4 linked regions of the Drosophila melanogaster genome follow. The protein of the gene in region 1 interacts with the protein of each later gene in a pairwise test. Each region holds a gene or a part of one and is shown on either strand. Other genes may lie near its edges.

The links.
Region 2: the proteins of Nufip (region 1) and crn interact in a two-hybrid assay, tested with the Drosophila melanogaster proteins (one large-scale study listed by BioGRID).
Region 3: the proteins of Nufip (region 1) and CG13627 interact in a two-hybrid assay, tested with the Drosophila melanogaster proteins (one large-scale study listed by BioGRID).
Region 4: the proteins of Nufip (region 1) and CG8204 interact in a two-hybrid assay, tested with the Drosophila melanogaster proteins (one large-scale study listed by BioGRID).

What each region holds. Positions count from the first base shown.
Region 1 is NT_037436.4:18,746,111-18,750,295, reverse strand, and holds Nufip (nufip), read left to right. Parts: upstream 1-1,928; 5' UTR 1,929-1,987; coding exon 1,988-2,179; intron 2,180-2,239; coding exon 2,240-2,520; intron 2,521-2,577; coding exon 2,578-3,640; 3' UTR 3,641-3,685; downstream 3,686-4,185. Other genes in the region: Atg3 (Autophagy-related 3), read right to left, coding at 1-503, 558-748, 817-952, 1,407-1,478; MED11 (mediator complex subunit 11), read right to left, coding at 3,808-4,185.
Region 2 is NC_004354.4:2,247,024-2,251,941, reverse strand, and holds crn (crooked neck), read left to right. Parts: upstream 1-1,958; 5' UTR 1,959-2,078; coding exon 2,079-2,114; intron 2,115-2,172; coding exon 2,173-4,245; 3' UTR 4,246-4,348; downstream 4,349-4,918. Other genes in the region: CG3191 (uncharacterized protein), read left to right, coding at 105-270, 588-747, 848-929, 993-1,295, 1,362-1,498, 1,555-1,636; Or2a (odorant receptor 2a), read right to left, coding at 4,448-4,498, 4,569-4,918. UniProt on the Drosophila melanogaster protein: May be involved in pre-mRNA splicing process. Involved in embryonic neurogenesis and cell rearrangement during Malpighian tubule morphogenesis.
Region 3 is NT_033777.3:24,710,925-24,717,971, forward strand, and holds CG13627 (uncharacterized protein), read left to right. Parts: upstream 1-1,855; 5' UTR 1,856-1,982; coding exon of another isoform or gene 1,983-2,051; 5' UTR 2,052-2,167; coding exon 2,168-2,173; intron 2,174-3,859; exon of another isoform or gene 3,860-4,053; coding exon of another isoform or gene 4,054-4,059; intron 4,060-4,125; coding exon 4,126-4,683; intron 4,684-4,793; coding exon 4,794-6,161; intron 6,162-6,222; coding exon 6,223-6,384; 3' UTR 6,385-6,506; downstream 6,507-7,047. Other genes in the region: CG46316 (uncharacterized protein), read left to right, coding at 1,983-2,051; Polr2L (RNA polymerase II, I and III subunit L), read left to right, coding at 6,694-6,788, 6,872-6,980.
Region 4 is NT_033778.4:15,572,615-15,575,992, reverse strand, and holds CG8204 (uncharacterized protein), read left to right. Parts: upstream 1-2,001; 5' UTR 2,002-2,259; coding exon 2,260-2,327; intron 2,328-2,382; coding exon 2,383-2,543; intron 2,544-2,601; coding exon 2,602-2,804; 3' UTR 2,805-2,849; downstream 2,850-3,378. Other genes in the region: CG30466 (uncharacterized protein), read right to left, coding at 3,067-3,180, 3,236-3,378.

The sequences.
Region 1 (4,185 bases):
ACTCCCAGCTGACCGCCGCCCTCCTCTACCGTCTGTATAATCTTCTTCATGATATCCGCATGCCGACATGGATGCACAGAGGCCATATTGGGACCTGGAAGATGCGGATGGGACTCCATGGTGACAGTTTTCTTCGCGTGATCCTGCGAGACATCCTCGTACATCTGTTCCACGGTCAGTGGCTTGCGCTGCTCATCATAGCCCACCACCCAGAGTCGCGGCGTCTGATAGTACTTATCATAGCTGATGTGCAGGTCGTACGTGCGTGTATGGAGCACAGAGTCACCGCTGGCCTCCGCGTCGCCCGATGCGGCTGCCACTGGGCTGGCCTTTGCTTCCGGCTCCGGCTTGCGTGTCGTGGTGGCTACAGCCGGATCGACCAGCTCCAGCATGCCGCTCTCCTCGAAATCGTCCATGTCAATAGCCTCGTCGTCGTCCTCGTCTTCAGCCTGGCCCCCAGCGCCCGGCGCAGATTTGTCGCTATCTGGAGTGTGCATTTCTTCCTGAAATGCAGTACTTGATTATGATAGTCGTGGTAAAGTTTCACCCGCACTCACCTTTGTCTCCTCCATTGTCAGTTCGCAGATCTTGTCCTCCAGCTGGGTGGTGCCATCATCGTTCAGTTGATGAGTCTCCACCCAACCGCCGTCACCGGACTCCTCCTCCACCAGCGTCTCCTCGCCGACGTATTCCATCTGCTTGCAGCGACGATAGCAGGGAACATTGCGCGTTATCAGGAATTGCTTATCTAAGTGGGGGCGAAATGATTTTAATGAGTCAATTGGCTAGTTATTAGTGGAAAATCGCAGCACATACCCTTTGGTAGGTAGGGTTTTGTCTTGGTCTCATCGCCAGCGGCCCACTGCCAAGTTGGACAATGGTGCACCAGGTGATCACCGGCGGCCACGAATTCTTCCGGAGTGAGAACACCTGTCTCACGGAATTTCGATTCCTGCAAAAAAAAAATAACGATATTTGTACAACAATTCAAAACCAACAAAGTGGAAAGTTGTATCTAGAATTCTTAATTGATAAATAATTAGTATATATGTATATTAGTTCCATATCTTTAATCTTAACGCTAAAATGTAAGTATTTCCCATAAACCGTTACATTATTGTAGGCCGTTTTCTTAAAAGGACACAAAAATAGGCCGAGAATTCTGGGACGCCCCTTATTTTACGTTTGGAGACAGTCTGGCGTTGGATCCAGTTTTATAGCCTCCCGGGGGCCGTTAACACAAGTCTTGGAAAATGGGGAACGGGAAAATGGAATCAATATTAGAGCGAGGAAACCCCTTATCTTTGCGGGTTTTCTTTGTCATGATGCATATGTACACCCTCGTTTCATATGTACGTATTGAAATACACATTTGATCAGTTTTCCGTTTATTTGGCACTTTTTACCTTCAAAACGGGCGTCAGATATTCGGCCACATTGAGCGCTGTGCCCTTGACGGTGTTGAGAACACTCTGCATTTCGTTGGCCGCTGAGTATTCGCACTAATCTAAACGCTTAAACTTAATAAATACAATTAAGATGGCTCTCTCAATTGACTTGCACTTCGCAGCTAATTGTTTTTGTCTTGCCAGTCGCGATACCAACAACAGTGCGGTGCGGTCATACTAGTCTATCGATGTGGGTGGGACTATCGATAAGTTGTTGCAGGAACAACGGCACTTTTTGCAATGGATTGCCCAAATATAAAAACAACCTGTAATTTACATTGTTAAATACGGACTAATCTAATAAATTTTGTTAAGAAAAAATGTCTAAAATAAGTTCTAAATTTATTAAAAACCCGAATTTTAGCGAAGGTATTTTAAAATAGCACTTATTCATACTTTTAAATGATTTTAATAAAAATAAATCTTACCTTAAGAAAGACATTCCTTTTAAAATGTAGTACGCATGTTGGTATATTCGATAGCTTCGGTCACACTATGTCCATTCGCGCACATTGTTTCTAACGTTTGTACGCGACGAAATGGAAGAAAAGGTTCTGCCGAAATTCGTATTACCGTCTCCAAAGTTCGGCAAGCCCAATGGATCCACCACATCCAATCACCTCTACCTGACCCCCAGCGGGATGACCCTGCTGCCGCGCTCCAAGCAACCGCCGCCCATGTACGGTGCACGAGGATCAACAGTGCCAGCTAAATATCTGCACCAAGAACAAGTGAGTGCACCAATAATAGTTCGAGCTTGTTCTTTAAACATTCCTTAATTCAAAACATAGAGCAGCCCAGTGAGCGTGCCTGCATCCCCGCCAGTTTACCATTCTCCTCCGCGACCGGAATTTTGTCACACATGTGTAATGGAGCTGGCCAACTCTCAGGATATGAAACTCCACCTGGAGCAACACGAGTTCTGCCCTGCCGATGACTGCGACTTTGCGGCGCTCCACAACATCCTGGAACGTCACATAGAATCCAATCACATCACAGGAACCTACGTAAAGGTAAAGAAAGTTTGGTCCGAGGAAGAATTGGCCGCTTGGAGGGCAGAACGAAGAAAAAAGTAAGTTAATTAGTAGAAATTTCTTTTGTTCTTTAAAATAAGCAGCTCAAATTGTAGATTTCCCACTGCGGCCAATGTTGAGCTGGCTAGATTAGCCAAGGAACAGCGAATTAAACGCGGAGAGCGCCTGGAGGCTTCGAAATCTCGCTTCGGAAACCGGGAAGATCGCCAACGGACGCGAGGAGGACCCCAGGGAGATCACAAAGTTCGTTTCGATCCGAAAAACAAGAAAAAGAGATGTGCCAAAGGGAAAGCCAATGAAAAGAAGAAAAAACGTGTTGGTACTGATAAAGCAAACGAAGCTTTGAAGCAGAAAGAAACTAATGAAGATAAAAAAGAAGAGGAAGTTAATTTGTGCTCCCTGGGAAATGCTAAATTTGGAGGAACTGGACAAATGCCGGAGTACCAGCACTTTAAGGCAAAAGTTCAAAAGAAGGATAATGCTTTGTCTAGCTTTCTTGGAATGTACGGGTCAGATAGTGACGAAGAAAGTGAAGCTGAGAGTGATGATCAGAATACAGCAGACTGCAGTAAACAAATCCCAGCACAAGTAGAGAGCTCCCAAAGTATGCCATCTGAAATCACAGAAATGGGTCCAGCCCTTGAGGCTTCAAATACACCTAACTCTGTTGATAATACTCAAACTTGTGAAGACTTTACACCTATGTTGGAAATGACATCATCAGACCAAGTGCCGCGAGAAATAAGCAACATTAGTCAAATAACTACATCTAACTCAGAGCCTGCCAAGGAAGATGGCTCCTCCGACGAAGGACCGGATGAAGAGCCCTTCCAGCGAGTGACCGAAACTATAACAGCGTCAGATCCAGTCAAACCACCTCCTGAACCAATGGAACCGAAGCCACAAACTGCACCCAAAAGAGCAGCTCCAAAGCGAATTTATGGCTTGAACTACAAGAGAGCGCGCAAGCAAACCCCGAACACTATGTTGTCGAAACTATTAGAATCCGATATACGCCATGAAAGAAATGTCCTGCTGCAGTGCGTGCGACATGTTTGCGAGAGAAATTTCTTTGGCATTGGTCAAGCTAAACCAAATCAAGAAACGTTGGTTACCACTTGTGATAAAACCGTTGATTCAACACCGGATGCATTATAACTTTAGCTTCTAAGTTAGGCAAATAAAGTACAAATAGTAGTATGCAAATGTATTTCTTAAAAAGAGTGTCACTTATGTTTCGATTAACGCAATTGGTTGACAAAATGTGCCTTTTCGGAATGCACTCTAAAAAATTTAAAACCCTTACCCTTAAAGATAGCGCAAGATTAGTTGGTTGACATTGAGGAGTCTCCGCCCATGGGATGATCTCCGCTGCCGGCATTTCCTCCTCCGGTTTGTTGTTGCTGCTGTTGTGCCGCCTGTTGCATCTGTTGTTGTTGCTGCTGCTGCTGTTGTTGTTGCTGCTGCTGTTGCTGGGCGGCGGCATGTTCCTGCTGACGCTTCAACTGCTGACGAGCTGCATGTGAGTGTTTGGCCTTAGTTTCCTCAAGTTCACGCACTCTGGACCTAGCGTGCTGAATGCGATGCCAAGCCATTTGGAGCACTTTGGCGGATGCATAGCCGGAACCCTCGTGTGGCTGACCCGTGGACACCTGGGTCAAGTAGTTGATCTGCTCGGACAGCTTCGATTCCACGCTGGACAG
Region 2 (4,918 bases), on another chromosome or scaffold:
TTTGAAAGTGATTCGAAAGCGATTGCTGCGTCCGATAGCCGATAGCAGACCAACCTGGCGGAGGGAACAGCGACGGAGCAATCGATACCCAGGCCACAGCACCAATGAGCCGCATAGGTGTGAGAGAGACTGGGGCGAGCGGTACGTCCGAGCAGCTGCAGCGGGAACAGGATAGCGACACATCGGAACAGGCGGTGCGGAAGCAGGAACGGGATCTCAAGGAGCTCCTCGAGTGGTTCCGGCAAAATGACAAGCTGCCCAAGGAGATTGGTAAGCGATGAGCCCGAAAACCGTGCGGGAATCCAACATCCGTTCACTGCCCATCAGTCCCATTCCACCTCCCACCACCCACCGTCCATTAATTAGGTCGTTAGTAGGCCGCTCCGCTCGCCGCCTTACGTCACTGTAGTCAATTGTATACAAACAGTGAATGTACAGGCAAGTCTCCCTAAATCGAACCGCACTTCCCAATTCAATATGTCCAACACGATGTTTGAATTAATTAATATTCCCGTAATGTGCAAAGTTCCATGGGCTTAACTCCTTAGCAAAAACTTCATTGTATCGTACCATATGTGTATTAACAGATCCGCTGCTGCTCCGGCGCTTCTACCAGTGCATGTTTGGAGACGTGGAGGAGACTCGGAAGCTCATCGAGGTGAACTACGCCCTGCGCAACCGGCACCCTCACCTGTTTATCAAGAGGGATCCTCTAGACGCGGACAGCAAGCGCACCTTTGACTACGCGTAAGTGTGTCCTTATTGGGAGAAAAGATTCCCTTTCCTTTGAGGCAGGGCCATGTTCCAAAAACATACATACCCGTATACCCCAACACTCGAATTTCAGAGACATTCTACCGCTGCCTGGCCTAACGCCGGACAAATGCAAGGTGTCGCTGTACTGCTTTCGGGAGTTCGAGGCCTCCAAGGTGAGTAATAGCTTCTCTTTGCTGTAGGAACTTGCGCTCCATACCGCCGATTGCTATCCCCAGATGCACCACACGGAGGACACGCGCGCCTTCTTTATGGTCAGCGACTGCCGGTTCGTGACGCCGGACGATCTCGCCAAACCGGATGTCCTGTCCGAAGGAGAGGTGCAGATATTCGACATGAAGGGCACCACAATGCGGCACATTTCGCGGCTGACGATCAGCACGCTGCGCGCCTACATCAAGTTCCTCCAGCTGGCATTTCCGGTGCGCCTGCGCGCCATTCACATGATTAACTGTCCAACTTACCTGGATCGGATCGTCAGCGTGGTGAAGCCGTTCATCAGCGACGAGGTCTTCAAGCTGGTGGGTTTCTTGAGAAGCCATTATGTCTCTAATAGCTTCATCTCACCATTACTTTCTACACTTTAGATCCGTTTCCACACGCAAAGCATAAATACGCTGTACGAGTTCGTGCCGCGGGAGATGCTGCCGGAGGAGTACGGCGGAGGAGCCGGGTCCTTAGAAGCACTGCGGACCCATACCCAAAAGGCCTTGGTTGAGCATCGGTGGGTTTCGATCTGCATGTTATAGTTATTCAGTAACGCCTCGTTGCCTTTTGTAGCGACTATCTGATGGACCCCGATCACTGGGTGGTGGTGAAGCCGGAGAAGCGGAACGAGAGTTCGTGGAGATTTTTCAAATGATTACCTAGAACATCTTCCACGGTAGCAAGGAGTCTCCTTCAACTGAAGACGGTTAAAAGTGTTTCAAGTGTATTGGGATAAACAGTTCCTGTGGCTTTTCATCTCTTAAATATCCATTTTTTTTTTAAATTTGTGTTGAAATTGCTCAAAAATAAATAAGTAAAAAATGCGTTATCCGTTTTATTTTTAACCCAACAATGTACAATTATTATACTAGTATATATTTATGGAAATACAACAAAAAAAGGGATTTAATTGAAACACACATTCAAAAGTAGAATGCGCAAAAGGCCAGTGGAGACAAAAAGCGATTATCGATAGCGAACTATCGAAATATGCCTATCGTTATCGCACGACGTTGTTAGTGGCATTATTTATTTTGTTGCGATTTAGCGTTTTTCCAACATAACATTGCTAAGTGAGGGACCCCGAATCGCACAGCATGGAGCGGCCACAGAAGATGCCCAAGGTGGCCAAGGTATGTGCCATCGTCGGCAATCCACCAAACCAACTTATCCAATCCAAAATTTCACCAGGTCAAAAACAAAGCGCCGGCGGAGGTGCAAATTACGGCGGAGCAGTTGCTCCGTGAGGCCAAGGAGCGAGATCTGGAGATTCTGCCGCCGCCGCCAAAGCAGAAGATCTCCGATCCCGCCGAGTTGGCAGACTATCAGCAGCGGAAGCGAAAGACCTTCGAGGACAATCTCCGCAAGAACCGCATGGTAGTCAGCCATTGGATCAAATATGCTCAGTGGGAGGAGCAGCAGCAGGAGATCCAGCGGGCGCGCTCTATCTGGGAGCGGGCGTTGGACAATGAGCACCGGAACGTGACCCTCTGGCTGAAATACGCCGAGATGGAGATGAAGAACAAGCAGGTGAATCATGCTCGCAATCTGTGGGATCGGGCAGTGACCATCATGCCGCGAGTCAACCAGTTCTGGTACAAGTACACCTACATGGAGGAGATGCTGGAGAATGTGGCAGGGGCGCGACAGGTGTTCGAGCGCTGGATGGAGTGGCAACCGGAGGAGCAGGCCTGGCAGACCTACGTCAACTTCGAGCTGCGCTACAAGGAGATCGACCGGGCACGGGAGATCTACGAGCGATTTGTCTATGTGCACCCGGACGTGAAGAACTGGATAAAGTTCGCCCGCTTTGAGGAGTCTCATGGGTTTATCCACGGCTCTCGGCGGGTATTTGAGCGCGCTGTGGAGTTCTTTGGTGACGACTACATCGAGGAGCGCCTGTTCATCGCCTTTGCACGTTTCGAGGAGGGTCAAAAGGAGCACGACAGGGCGCGCATCATCTACAAGTACGCTTTAGATCACCTACCTAAAGATCGCACACAGGAGCTGTTCAAGGCCTATACGAAACACGAGAAAAAGTACGGCGACAGAGCGGGTATTGAGGATGTGATTGTTTCCAAGCGCAAGTACCAGTACGAGCAGGAGGTGGCCGCCAATCCCACCAACTACGATGCCTGGTTCGACTATTTGCGCTTGATTGAGGCTGAGGGCGATCGGGATCAGATCCGTGAGACGTACGAACGGGCCATTTCCAACGTGCCGCCTGCCAATGAAAAGAACTTCTGGCGACGCTACATTTACCTTTGGATCAATTATGCTTTGTACGAGGAGCTTGAAGCGGAGGACGCGGAACGCACGCGGCAGATCTACAAGACCTGTCTGGAGCTAATACCTCACAAGCAGTTCACCTTCAGCAAGCTTTGGCTGCTGTACGCCCAATTCGAGATCCGCTGCAAGGAGCTGCAGCGAGCACGCAAAGCTCTGGGCTTGGCCATCGGCATGTGTCCCAGAGATAAGCTCTTCAGAGGCTATATTGATCTGGAGATTCAGTTGCGTGAGTTCGAGCGCTGCCGCATGCTGTACGAGAAGTTCCTGGAGTTTGGACCGGAGAATTGTGTCACTTGGATGAAGTTTGCCGAGCTGGAGAATCTGTTGGGCGACACGGACCGGGCGAGAGCCATTTTCGAGCTGGCGGTGCAGCAGCCGCGCCTGGACATGCCAGAGCTGCTGTGGAAGGCGTACATCGACTTCGAGGTAGCCCTAGGCGAAACAGAGCTAGCCAGACAGCTTTACGAGCGACTCCTTGAGCGGACGCAGCATGTGAAAGTGTGGATGTCGTTTGCCAAGTTCGAGATGGGCCTCAGCCACGGCGACAGCGGGCCAGATGCGGAGCTGAACGTGCAGCTGGCAAGGAGAATCTATGAGCGAGCCAACGAGATGTTGCGTCAGCTGGGAGACAAGGAGTCGCGTGTTCTGTTGCTAGAGGCATGGCGCGACTTTGAACGCGACGCCTCCGATTCGCAGGAGATGCAAAAGGTAATGGACAAGATGCCGCGGCGCATCAAGAAGCGGCAAAAGATCGTCTCGGACAATGGCGTCGAGGAAGGTTGGGAGGAGGTATTCGACTACATCTTTCCCGAGGACGAAATGGCTCGACCCAATCTCAAGTTGCTGGCTGCAGCTAAGATGTGGAAGACACAAAAAGACAACACGGTGGACGACCCGCCCGCTACAGCTATTGCATCTGAGCCAGAACCTGCAGCTGATGCTGCCCCAGCGGATACGACGGATAGCGGTGACTGATTCACTTCCGCCTAAAAATCGTTGCTTTTGAACAAAGCTAAATATCTGAAATTGCAGATTTTTCGCTTTATTTTTGGATACCTTAGTAATAAACCACTTAAATAAAAAACTATAATGATCTTTTTTTTTGTTATATTATCTGATATATTTTTCTGCTATTGTGCTTTAAAATTTTTCTCCCCAAAAAGAGATTATAAAGTTCTTACTTGGCCCTCAGCAAGAGTGTGAAAACAGAGTATGTGAACCTCATGACCTGGAATCAAGTGAATCATATCATATTTGAATCAAATCAAAGGACATTTGAATATATAATTGTGCCTTGCCTGCTCGAAGGTCTCCAGCGAGAGTGCGATGTAGTTGCCTGCGTAGATAAGAGAAGGCCGCTGCGTCCTGGCCAGGGTGAAGAGCAGTTCGCGCTTGAACTTGGGCAGCTGTTCTATCCAGTTGCAATCGTAGAAGGCATCGCACAGCGCCTCGCTCTGTGTCCGCATCCTGTCCCCAAAATAGCAGATTACAAACACCTCCAAGGTGACGGCCGAGAAAAATACAATCGAGATGATCATGGCGGTGTGGTCGTGGTCATCCGCTACGTACAGGAAGTGCATGGCGACGGTACACTGGACGGCGGCGGAGCAGACGAACTGGGCCATGCAGGGCACTGAAAGGACCCGCT
Region 3 (7,047 bases), on another chromosome or scaffold:
ACGTTTGCAGATAAAAACCAAAACGAAAACCGAAACTAATATGATAATTTTACAGGTTTAAGGCGGAAATGTTCATTTTTTTAAGGAATAACGATATTAAGATATCATAATTAACATAACAAATTGCAACTAAAAAACCAAGCAAAAAAAGAAAAACGAAAAAATATTTTTTATAATTTCGCAGCACTTTCACATGATACCCGCACACGCACACATACACATCCGGCAATGTGTGCTAAATAAATTGTATAAATAATGCAAACCCAAAAAAAAAAAAAACAATGCAAATCATATTAATGTAGTTACATTTTTTTAGTTTTTACTCGCTATTTATATGAGGTATATTTACACAACGGAAAACGTAAAAGTAGACATAAATAAAACGTAAAAAGCGATAAAAAAAATTCATTAATTTACATTGAAATTAAAGTAAACTAAACCGAAATCAGAGCAGAAAGCATAAAATGACAAATTAGTTTAAAATGGTCCTGCAAAGGCAAAAACAACAAAAAATAAACAACATTTTAAATAACAAATTGAAGAGCTAAAAATGCATATTTTAAACATTTGTCTAAAACGCAACCGAAAGAAAAAACCAAAAGAAATGATAAATGTATGAAATAAAAGGTATAATAATAATATTATGTTGTTAATGTTTAAAAAACCTTGTTAAAAATAATATTTCAAAATAAAATATAAATACGGAAAAAAATAGCAAAGAAATTACCACCAAACTGAGAGCTTTATGAAAGTGAAATTTTGATTTATGTCCCAAAACTTTGGGCCGCCAAATACTGACCCAAAAAATGGCTGGCCGGGCGTTATAAAATTCCAATGACCAATTGCGTTTAGAAATTGGATGTCGCGCCTTGCATAAAATGCGACCAATTATTGGGGAGCGTTTCATAAGCATGTCTCATTATCATCGAAGGGCCTTTGGTATATGTACATCCGAAATGTGAAGCCTATCATACGGAATCCATTGGTTATGGAAATTGCATCCATTCGTTTTTGGGACACATCTGAATTAAGTTACATTACCATCAAATATCGCTTAAAATACAGCTCAAGCTTTTCTACGAAACCCTTAGCCCCCAATTGAGCTGACTTCCGTACAAAAACTAATTCGAAAAAGCTTTCACGCATTCCTTTGAGTCTTCGACGAGTTTAGCCAGATATTTAATGCAGTTAAATATGAGTTTAAAATTATTGGAAAAATATTGGCAACATCTTAAAAAGTATGAAAATGTTATAATAATATCTTATTATTCCCAAAATATTGTTTGGTTCCGCTTTAAAATGTTTGCTATTTTCCCCACTGTGCCTGCCGCATTTCGTAATTTCAATCGGTGGCTCTGCTCCTGTTTGCTGCCCCAGCAAAAAAAAAGACTTAAAAAGTGGGGCCAACAGGTGACAGACGGCGGCATTGGGGGGCCATCTCTTGATCATGTGCGCCTGGTCCGCATTGCTTTTTAAGGTAAAGAGCGAGTGCTGACTTGCGACGACAACAAGTTCGCTGCTTAAGTCTTTTGTTTGGCGCCGTCTCTTTCGCTCCTTTCTTTCGCCGGCCAAGAACAGTCAATGGGAAAACACTTTCGTTGCGATTAATCGGCCACTTGCTGGCAATTCATGTAGCTGCTGGTCGCGTGCTGCGCTTTATCCACTGCAAACTAGTTTTATTTGTTGGCTTTTTATTTATTTTATTTTTTTTTTTTTGTATTTCATTCGGCGCCAGAGTCAAGAAAATCCGACCACTTTCTTCAGTGCGCACTTCCAATGCGAGTCGTCACTCCATTCCAGTGGAACTCCAGCGGATGGGCACATGGTTTTTGTCCGCCACCAGCGACCAACTAACAGTCAGTTGTCTTCGCGACTTGAACAGGTGCGGACGTCGCTGCTCCTCGAATTTATATTCGAAACTCTTTACAAATCTTTTGTGCGTGCAGTTTAAGATCGAAGAAAGCGCCGCGGCGCTCGTTGACATGAAGTTAATTGACGTGATTATATACCTAATTGCCATTTTGATCTTCATCTATTTGCTGCTGGAGTAGCAGAAGAAGCCAAAAGTTGCTCGACATTTGCCCCAGAGCTTTCTACAGTCTACCAGATCCATCAGCCAGCTACCCGACAATAAAACAACGAAAATCTCTAGCAAATCCGAAAGAAGATGAGGGTAAGTGATTCACGCGGGTATTGTGAGTTTGTTGGCCACAATTAGCGGTTATTAAAAAGTCTCTCACTGCGCACAGCATAACACAATAATGGATTGGCTTTAATTTCTATTGCAAATTCAATGGCATTTCTTCTTCTCATCGGCGATCAACGACTTCAGACTGAGATTGGCATTCAAATTTGGTATCACCTTCACCTTCGCCAGCAAAGCCAGCAAATTGCAATCGCTGCACAATGAAGCTGTAGCTTCTTCAATTGAATTGAAGTCGTCGGAATATTTGTCAAATTGCAAGGTGGCCGGCAAAGCGAGCACTTTCATTTGCAATGGGAGCACTTGATGCGCCAAGTTTCGCCAAGATCCAGACAATGGATGGCTTTACGTGCACCAATTGCATCGCACACTGTGAGTTGCAAGCTGCAAACTGTGAGGCACAGGCGGCTGCCTCAATGTGCAGCGGGCTTGAAAATAAAATGCTTGCCGCTAAAATAAAAGTTGCATTTCGAGTTGCAATTTGGGTTAACCACACCGTTGTTTATGGTCGACGCTGTGGCGACAGCCCGCTGATCAATAGTTCCGCCTAGGCCGTTGGCAAAAATCCTTTGTCAGGTTCAATGGCACTGCCGGCCAAGCCCAAAAGGAAACCCGAAATTATGCGAATTCCATTTGGACTTTCGTTGAACGGGTTATCCGCCGTCGCCGTGGGCCATTCCCTGCCAGACTTTTCAGTGTTTGGCATCGGGCACCCGTCTCCTGGCAGCAGTTCATTCACCAGCAGGCCGCCCCTGGTATTTGCATATGATTATGATGCATGTTGCAATGGCGACAAACTAACTAACTTACTAACTAACCACTCCATAAACAATAAGCCACCAATTTTGTGGCAATTACCCCGATCACCGCCGCTGCAGTCAGTTTCAGTTGCAATCGGCAATCCGTTTAAGCAAACGCAGCACGTAATCAATAACTATACGTATTGGACTCGCCTAGGCATTTCACCTCTTGATTGACGTCTGGCTAACGGCACACCGTATTGCCATTGTCATTGCCGCCGCTCCGGTGGCTCCAGTGGCTCTGCTGGTGCGCTGCCCAGGTGAAATTTCAATGTCCAGTGGCCGCCTCAAATTACCCACTTCCCCTTCCATCGACGAGACTAAAGAGACCCATGCCAGCCGCGCTGAAGAGGCACATACTCATTCTTTTCAAGGAATAACATGCATTTCATTTTAATGGTTCCTATATATGTTTCTATAAAAATCTGACATTTTACGCCTTAATAAATTTATTAGATGCATGATATGTATTTCTTTCTTCGTTATTGTGTTATACCTAAACTAATAGAGCCATTCCCTTTAACCTATATAAAATGCATGAAAAATCCAAAATACTCGTATATAACGTATAAGGTAGGCTGTAAGTTTCTAAAGCCAATTTCAATGAAAGTGTCACCAAATGAGTCAGTGATGCATTATACCCGCCGAATTGTAAACAATGCGACAGTAAAATTTATAGAACGAAGACATTTCGATGACGGACTTTTCACTTTCATTCTATGGCATTGTGGACAGAAAGTTTAATCAGCCATCGAAGCGGGGAAAATGGGCAAAGTATTATGGCATACCCGTATAAATATATATGTATGTATATTTATAAATGCGAAGCTACTTTGTTTGGCTCGTTTGCTTAAGCAGCTTTGGTTAAGTAGCCAATGGCAGGCGACGTGATAAAATTTTAGAAAACCGCCAATTTGTTCAAATTAAGGCCATTACAGTTTTGTTGCTGTCCAGCGATTACAAGACCCTCCTCCTTCCTCACCGCCCCTTTTTTTCTTCTTCGCCTTTGCCGGGCTTAGAAAGTTTTTATTTCTTTCGGCGTTTTGTTCGATGTCTGTATGTACGAGTAATTATGTTTTTGATTTAATGGTCTTTGACATTGTCCCATCCCATCCTCGCCAGCCATTTCTGCTGTTCGCACTGCTCCTGGCGCTGGCTAACTGCGAGCAGCGTCCACTGGTTTTCACCAACTGGCCACCGAAGAGCTCCAAGCAGCTGAGTCGTCCCGCCATTGGAGCTGGAGGTCCTGGATCCGCTGGAGCGCCTGGAAAGCAGCGCACGCTGGTCGTCCAAATACGCAGCGATCAACCGGTGCCCTTGGTACTGAAGGGTCGTCCTGGACATGGAGCGCACAGCCATGCCGCCCATCTGGCCCATCCGCATTCCGTGCATCCTGCACATGTCCTGTCGCACGCCCATTCACATGCCCATCTACACTCGCATCCGCTGATCCATGTGCCACATCAGTACCAGCATCAGCACCTACGCGGACCACCTCGTCCCATGAAGCTGAGTGGTCCGTCGCCCGTGTACCTGAAACCAGCTGGATCTCTAAGGAAACCACTGAAGATCAAACTGAACAATGTGAAGCCCAAGACGAAACCCACATTCGGATACGACAAGCCCTTTAAGTACGAGAAGCCCACTGCTGTGAGCTACAGCGAGCTGCAGAATCTGCCGGTAAGTGGAGTCCATTGAAAATGTCCTGCTCTTAAGATATCCTTATACTGCACATGCCCCCCACTCCCCTGAACATATAACATAACTCCATTCATGCTGATCCCCCACAGCTGGACACGCACAACAACTTCAACACCGAGCACTTTGCACCCATTTACACGGTACCCGCACCGAACCTGGCCGACAATCACCTGGACGTGGAGGAGGGTCATCTTGACACCTCCTACCTGTACAAGCCTCCTTCCCAGACCCAGATCCAAACACCATCCTCCTCAGCCCGTCCCCAGACATATTTGCCACCGAAGTACAGTGTGCATGAGGACGAGACCAATGACCAAACCATTCGTGATCCCATTTCGGGTTCGCAGAAACTCTTTGCCCCAGATCCGGATCCCTCGCTGCCCACCACCAAGATTCGCCCCGCCACCGAATCTTTCAATACGCCCAGCAACAACAAACCGCTGCCCGCCGACGTCCAGAGTAACCATCTGCCAGCCCAGCCATTGGTTCAGATTGTGGGAGCCCAGACGGCAGCCCAAACGGCGCCAGAGATCTATCCCATTCAGTATGCCCAGCCGGCGGTTCACTCCCAGTCCTTTATCGCCGCCATTCCGGCTGCCCACATTCCCATCTATAATCCCACCTACCTGGTGACGCAGTCCAACCAACTGTACTCGGCCCACAAGCAGCAGCTTTTCAAGCCCAGCTCGGAACCGGTGGTGGAAACGGGTTACGTGAACGCCGATCTCACCCAGGAGGTAGCCAGCAATGGACAGATACTGCAGGCAGCCAAGGATCCACATCACAACATCCATCCTGTACTTGATTCGGCGCCACAATATGCTGCTCTTATTGCCGCTCCGGCACTGGGTGATCCCAATGAGGGTGCCTACGAGACGGCCTCCTTCCACCTGCCCAATGTGGCGTCAGCGGTCACTGCCTCCGTTCCGGAAGGTGGCTTCGTGGTGTCCAACTTCTATGGCCATGCCCACGACTCTTCCCAATTGCTGCAGGCCTACGCAGAGGAGGAGGCACGTCGACAGCAACTGGAAACAGAGCAAGCCGCCATTGAGCTGCAAAAGCAGCAGCAGTTGCATCTGGAGGAGCTTAAGGCGCAGGCCCAGGAGCAACAGCAGCAGCATCAGCTGCATCTGGAGGAGCTGAGGGCTCAGGCGCAGTACCAGCAGCAGCAACAGCAGCAGTTCGAGGAACTGCAGGCACAGGCACAGGAGCAACACTTGCAGCAGCAACACCAGCAGCATCAGTTGCAGCTCTTGCAATTGCAGCAGCAGCAACAGCAGTTGCAGCAACCAGTGCAGCACCATCCGCCGCAGCAGCTGCAACAGCAGCAGCAGCAGCAGGTGGCTCAGGATCCAGCAGCAAGTGCATTCGAGGAGCACCAGCGATTGGTGCAGCAGCAACTTGGCGCCAACACGCCACTTCGCATCTTTGTGCCCGACGAGGAGGCCGCCGAATCGGTAGGTAAAATTAGACAAGAAATTCTTCCGTATGCTAACATTTGAGACTTTCCTTGTATAGCGACTGCAAAAGAGATCGGATGATGTGAAAAAGGGCACGGTGGAGGATGTGTCCAGTGCGGGTCGGAACGACGGCGACAGCGAGGAGTCAGCCAAAGATTTGTTCGAGGTATCCACCTCCGTCGAAGTGGCCGGCGAGCATCTCACGGCCAGCAGTAATTAGTTAACGCACTTTTAGTCTTCGACGCTGTTCAAAAATATTTATTTACACACTCATTTGTAAAAAACGCATTCATGTAGCGAGCAGTCGGTAGTTAATAAAAATAACCATTAATTTATTCAAATATTCGTTAGCGTTCTTTTTGAATGGATATAAGTTTTTGTGTTATCGATACATTGTAATGCTGGTGAGATAAAAATACAACTGCACTCTGGTCACACTCATGACAAGTAAAAACACATTTTACCAAAAACATTGTTGTGATTGCACATTTTTCGTGATTTAACTAAGAATTAGAGCCTGATCTACAAAATGATTATTCCAATCCGTTGTTTCACCTGCGGCAAGGTCATTGGCAACAAGTGGGAGTCGTATTTGGGTCTCCTGCAAGCGGAATACACCGAAGGGTAAGTCACGCGGGAAAGTCTCCTTTCCACGCCGCATTTCATCATATAATATATATATATTATATCTTACAATCCAATCCCAGAGATGCCCTGGATGCTTTGGGTCTAAAGAGGTACTGCTGCCGTCGCATGCTCCTGGGCCACGTGGATCTTATCGAAAAACTGCTCAACTATGCTCCTCTGGAGAAGTGAACGGCACAATGGAAACCATCCAAACTGGACTTGGGAATAAAAACTCTAGATTTTATTGTAAAATTAC
Region 4 (3,378 bases), on another chromosome or scaffold:
TAATTTAATATTCATTATATGCACTATAAACGCTGTGCCACTACGATTGCATGATCTGTCAATCTGCCCAATTGCCAGGACTATCTGCCCCCTTATTTTTCCACCTTCCAGTGTTTTCCTCGTTTGGCTTTTCGGGCGATAAAAACGAAGCGAAAAGTGCCGCTATCTATTAATATCGCTTTTGGCTTTTTCGCTGGCGGCTAGCTGGTAACTGGTAGTTGGTAGTTGGTAGTTGGTATTTGGTAACTGGGAAAAGCTGGGAATGAAAAACGCTGAAAACTCCTAACGAACGACACCTGCCCTCGGAAAATGCCACTACTGCACCCCGCGAGAAACTTTCGCCCCATTTGGTGGCGTGTGTCTCGCTTTTCTTCTTGCTGTTTGCATTGGTCGCCCCTTTTCCTTTTGGCGATACACTGCTGCTGATGTTGCACGAATGTTGTAAATCAAAAGTAGGCGAGTCACACGAAGGGTCTTCCTGCCCCCCCGAAATCCCTGCCACCGCCGATAGCCGCTGCTTGCCAGCGCCTCTGCTGCTGCGCCTATTTGACTGGCAGGCCGAGCGGATAACGCTGGCAATTATCGCGCTTGTGCCTCACGAACAGCGGAAGCGGCAGAGGCGCCACATCATGTTACCCGGCCCGATTCCCCAGACCTTCCACATCCCCAAACTCTTTGTTAGCCTGCATCCTTTGCTTTCTTTTGTACCACTCGTTTTTCTTTGTGCAATCCAATTGGTAGCGCTCAGAAAACAAAGCAAAAACGATTGAAAATAACAACAACCAGTCCCGGCTACAAGTCCCCCAAAATATGGCAACAGAAACAAGAAGAAAAAAAACGATTCATATACGAGTATAGCCATGCACCTAGACCACCCCATCCGGTCAGTCAGTCAGTCATTGAAGTCATTTATTGCCACCAAAAGTTTTTCGCTGTTTGCCATACCCTCGCAGAGGTTATTACGGCTCAGACTAGGAGCAGGACACGAAGGATCTCAATGGGTGTAGTTATCGTATACAGGACTGTAAGAAGTTATAACCCAATGACATTACCTATAGGACTATCATTATTATCAAATCTTAATGACACACATCTATATGTGTATATTTCATAGCTGAATATGGCCATATAAATGAGATGTTTCTCTTGCAACTAAACCTACTTTTTAGGACTATATATTGTGCATACACATAACACGTTTTCATTAGAAAGAAAGCTTAATAACAAAGGGCATTCCATGCTTCGGTTAACCAATCGAGCCTCACTGTTGTACTTATTTTTACTTCTGGTTGTACTGTACTTGTCTTTGGAGCTGGAGCGGATCTGAACGACTCCTTCCCGGGAAGGACCGTTCCGTTTCAGTACGTTCCGTGTGCAGGATATGTTTACAATTTGCGGACACGCCGACCGTCATTTGATTGCTCCCCTCGCGCTTGTCGAATTCTCGGTTAATTCGCCAGGTGGCTTCAGACTGCGCATTGCCATCGGCGGCGGGGGGAAAGGATTGGGAGGCTTTGGGGCGGAAAAATGGGAGGGCAATGATAAGCGTTCCTCGTTTGTTTGCTCGGAAGCCTCACGGAAGATGACGTGCCCGGGATGGCCCATAAATGAGACTGGCCAAAGCAAACAGACCGGATACACAGGATACATTCAATCAAATAAGGCTATTCGTAACCGGAAAAGGGCAGGACGACTCTATGTCTTCCTCAATCTGACCAAACACTCCGCTAATCGTATGGTTAATAACTAAAATACCTGTGGATAATCTTTAAACGTTTTCAATATGTAAGTCAGTGAGATACAGATACAGTAGATTGAAGCTTTCTGACTATATAAAGTATTTACTTATTTATGATGAGCAAAATTGAATGTTGATGATGAACATTTTATTTGTTCCAGCAAATTGTTCAAATTCAAATTAAAAGTAATGGCGCCAAAGATAGAATTCATCTGTTGACGAAGGCTGGCAGCTACAGAACAATCTAACTAAGCTATGGGATTCGTTTCAACACACTCGTCGTAGAACTCCACTAGTTTTGTTTTCTCACTAAATTAACATGCAGCCCCGCGATCTTATGCGCATTTTAATATTATTCTGCTTGCGTTTTGCATTTAACTTTTTGATTGTTTACCTCCAAAAACATAACGCCGTTCCAGTGGAGCAGAAACGGCTTGGAACCCTCGATAGAGGCAAAAGCTGGAGGCTATAAAACTCGCACAGCTGAGTTTTATTTTGCACGCGACATTGAATTTGATGAGATGGAAAAATGCATTATTTGCGTAGATAACTTGAGAAAATACAAGTGCAGCAAATGCTCGGCACCCTAGTAAGTAGCTATTCGAACAGTTCACTACGGAGATAATAAATGTCGCAAAATGTAGCTGCTCTGTGGCTTGTTATAAGACACACAGGGATTCGCCCCAATGTGCGACAAGGGAGTCCGACTTGAAAAAGACTGAAGTTGGCTACCAGGAGGAACCTACGCTTCATGTGCCCTTCCCCACCGACGACACAGTTGCCGCGGAGAAGCTCCAGCAACTAGGTAGGTGTTTAAATTCGCAATTATACACATTTCTCATAGTATGATGGTTTCCGTACAGAAAACTGCCAGGAACTGCGTAATTTGCTCCACAATCCACACCTGCGTTCGCTGCTCCAGCAGATTGATGTGGCCATCAATGCCCAGTCGGCCATGATGGCCGCCATGCAGGAGCCACTCTTCGTGGAGTTCGCTAATGCCTGCCTTCAAGTCGTCGAACCGATGACGGATGCTGAGCGCACTGAATTTGAGTTGTACTCCTGAATTAAGTTGACACACAGTCTCAATAAAACTAAGCCTTTATTTTGTAACTAATAGTACTGTCAATCCTTGGCAGCTTCTAGAGGAGCTTGCATTGAAGAACTCCTGGAAACTTCTCATTGAAATCCGCCGGTAAGGTTGAATCTTTTCCATAACCAGGGAAAACGTACAACTAATTATTTGGCTCGGCCATTTAAAGTTATCTATCTCAGCTGGCATATCAAACTAGTCATCAGTCTACAGCTTCGTTCCTTGGCAATCAAACTCAATCAAAGTAAATTGAAACTGGATCCGAGTTAAAAGTGATTTTTGGATGCTTCATGTGCAACTTGAAAAGCCTATGTTCCCCTTGCACTTTCCAGGTCATGGGGATGGGATCCTGTAATGAAAAATATTAGAAACGAAAGCTAATATAAGTTGTGAAATACTTAGACCTCATTAGACATGAGATACGTGTTTAGTTCCACATAAATATTAAGTGCTGTGGTACGGTTTTCTCCCAGTTTCTTCGCATCGAATGTGAACTCCTTAAATCCGAAGGTGCAATGGTATATACCCAGGACCTCGTGTGTGTTTA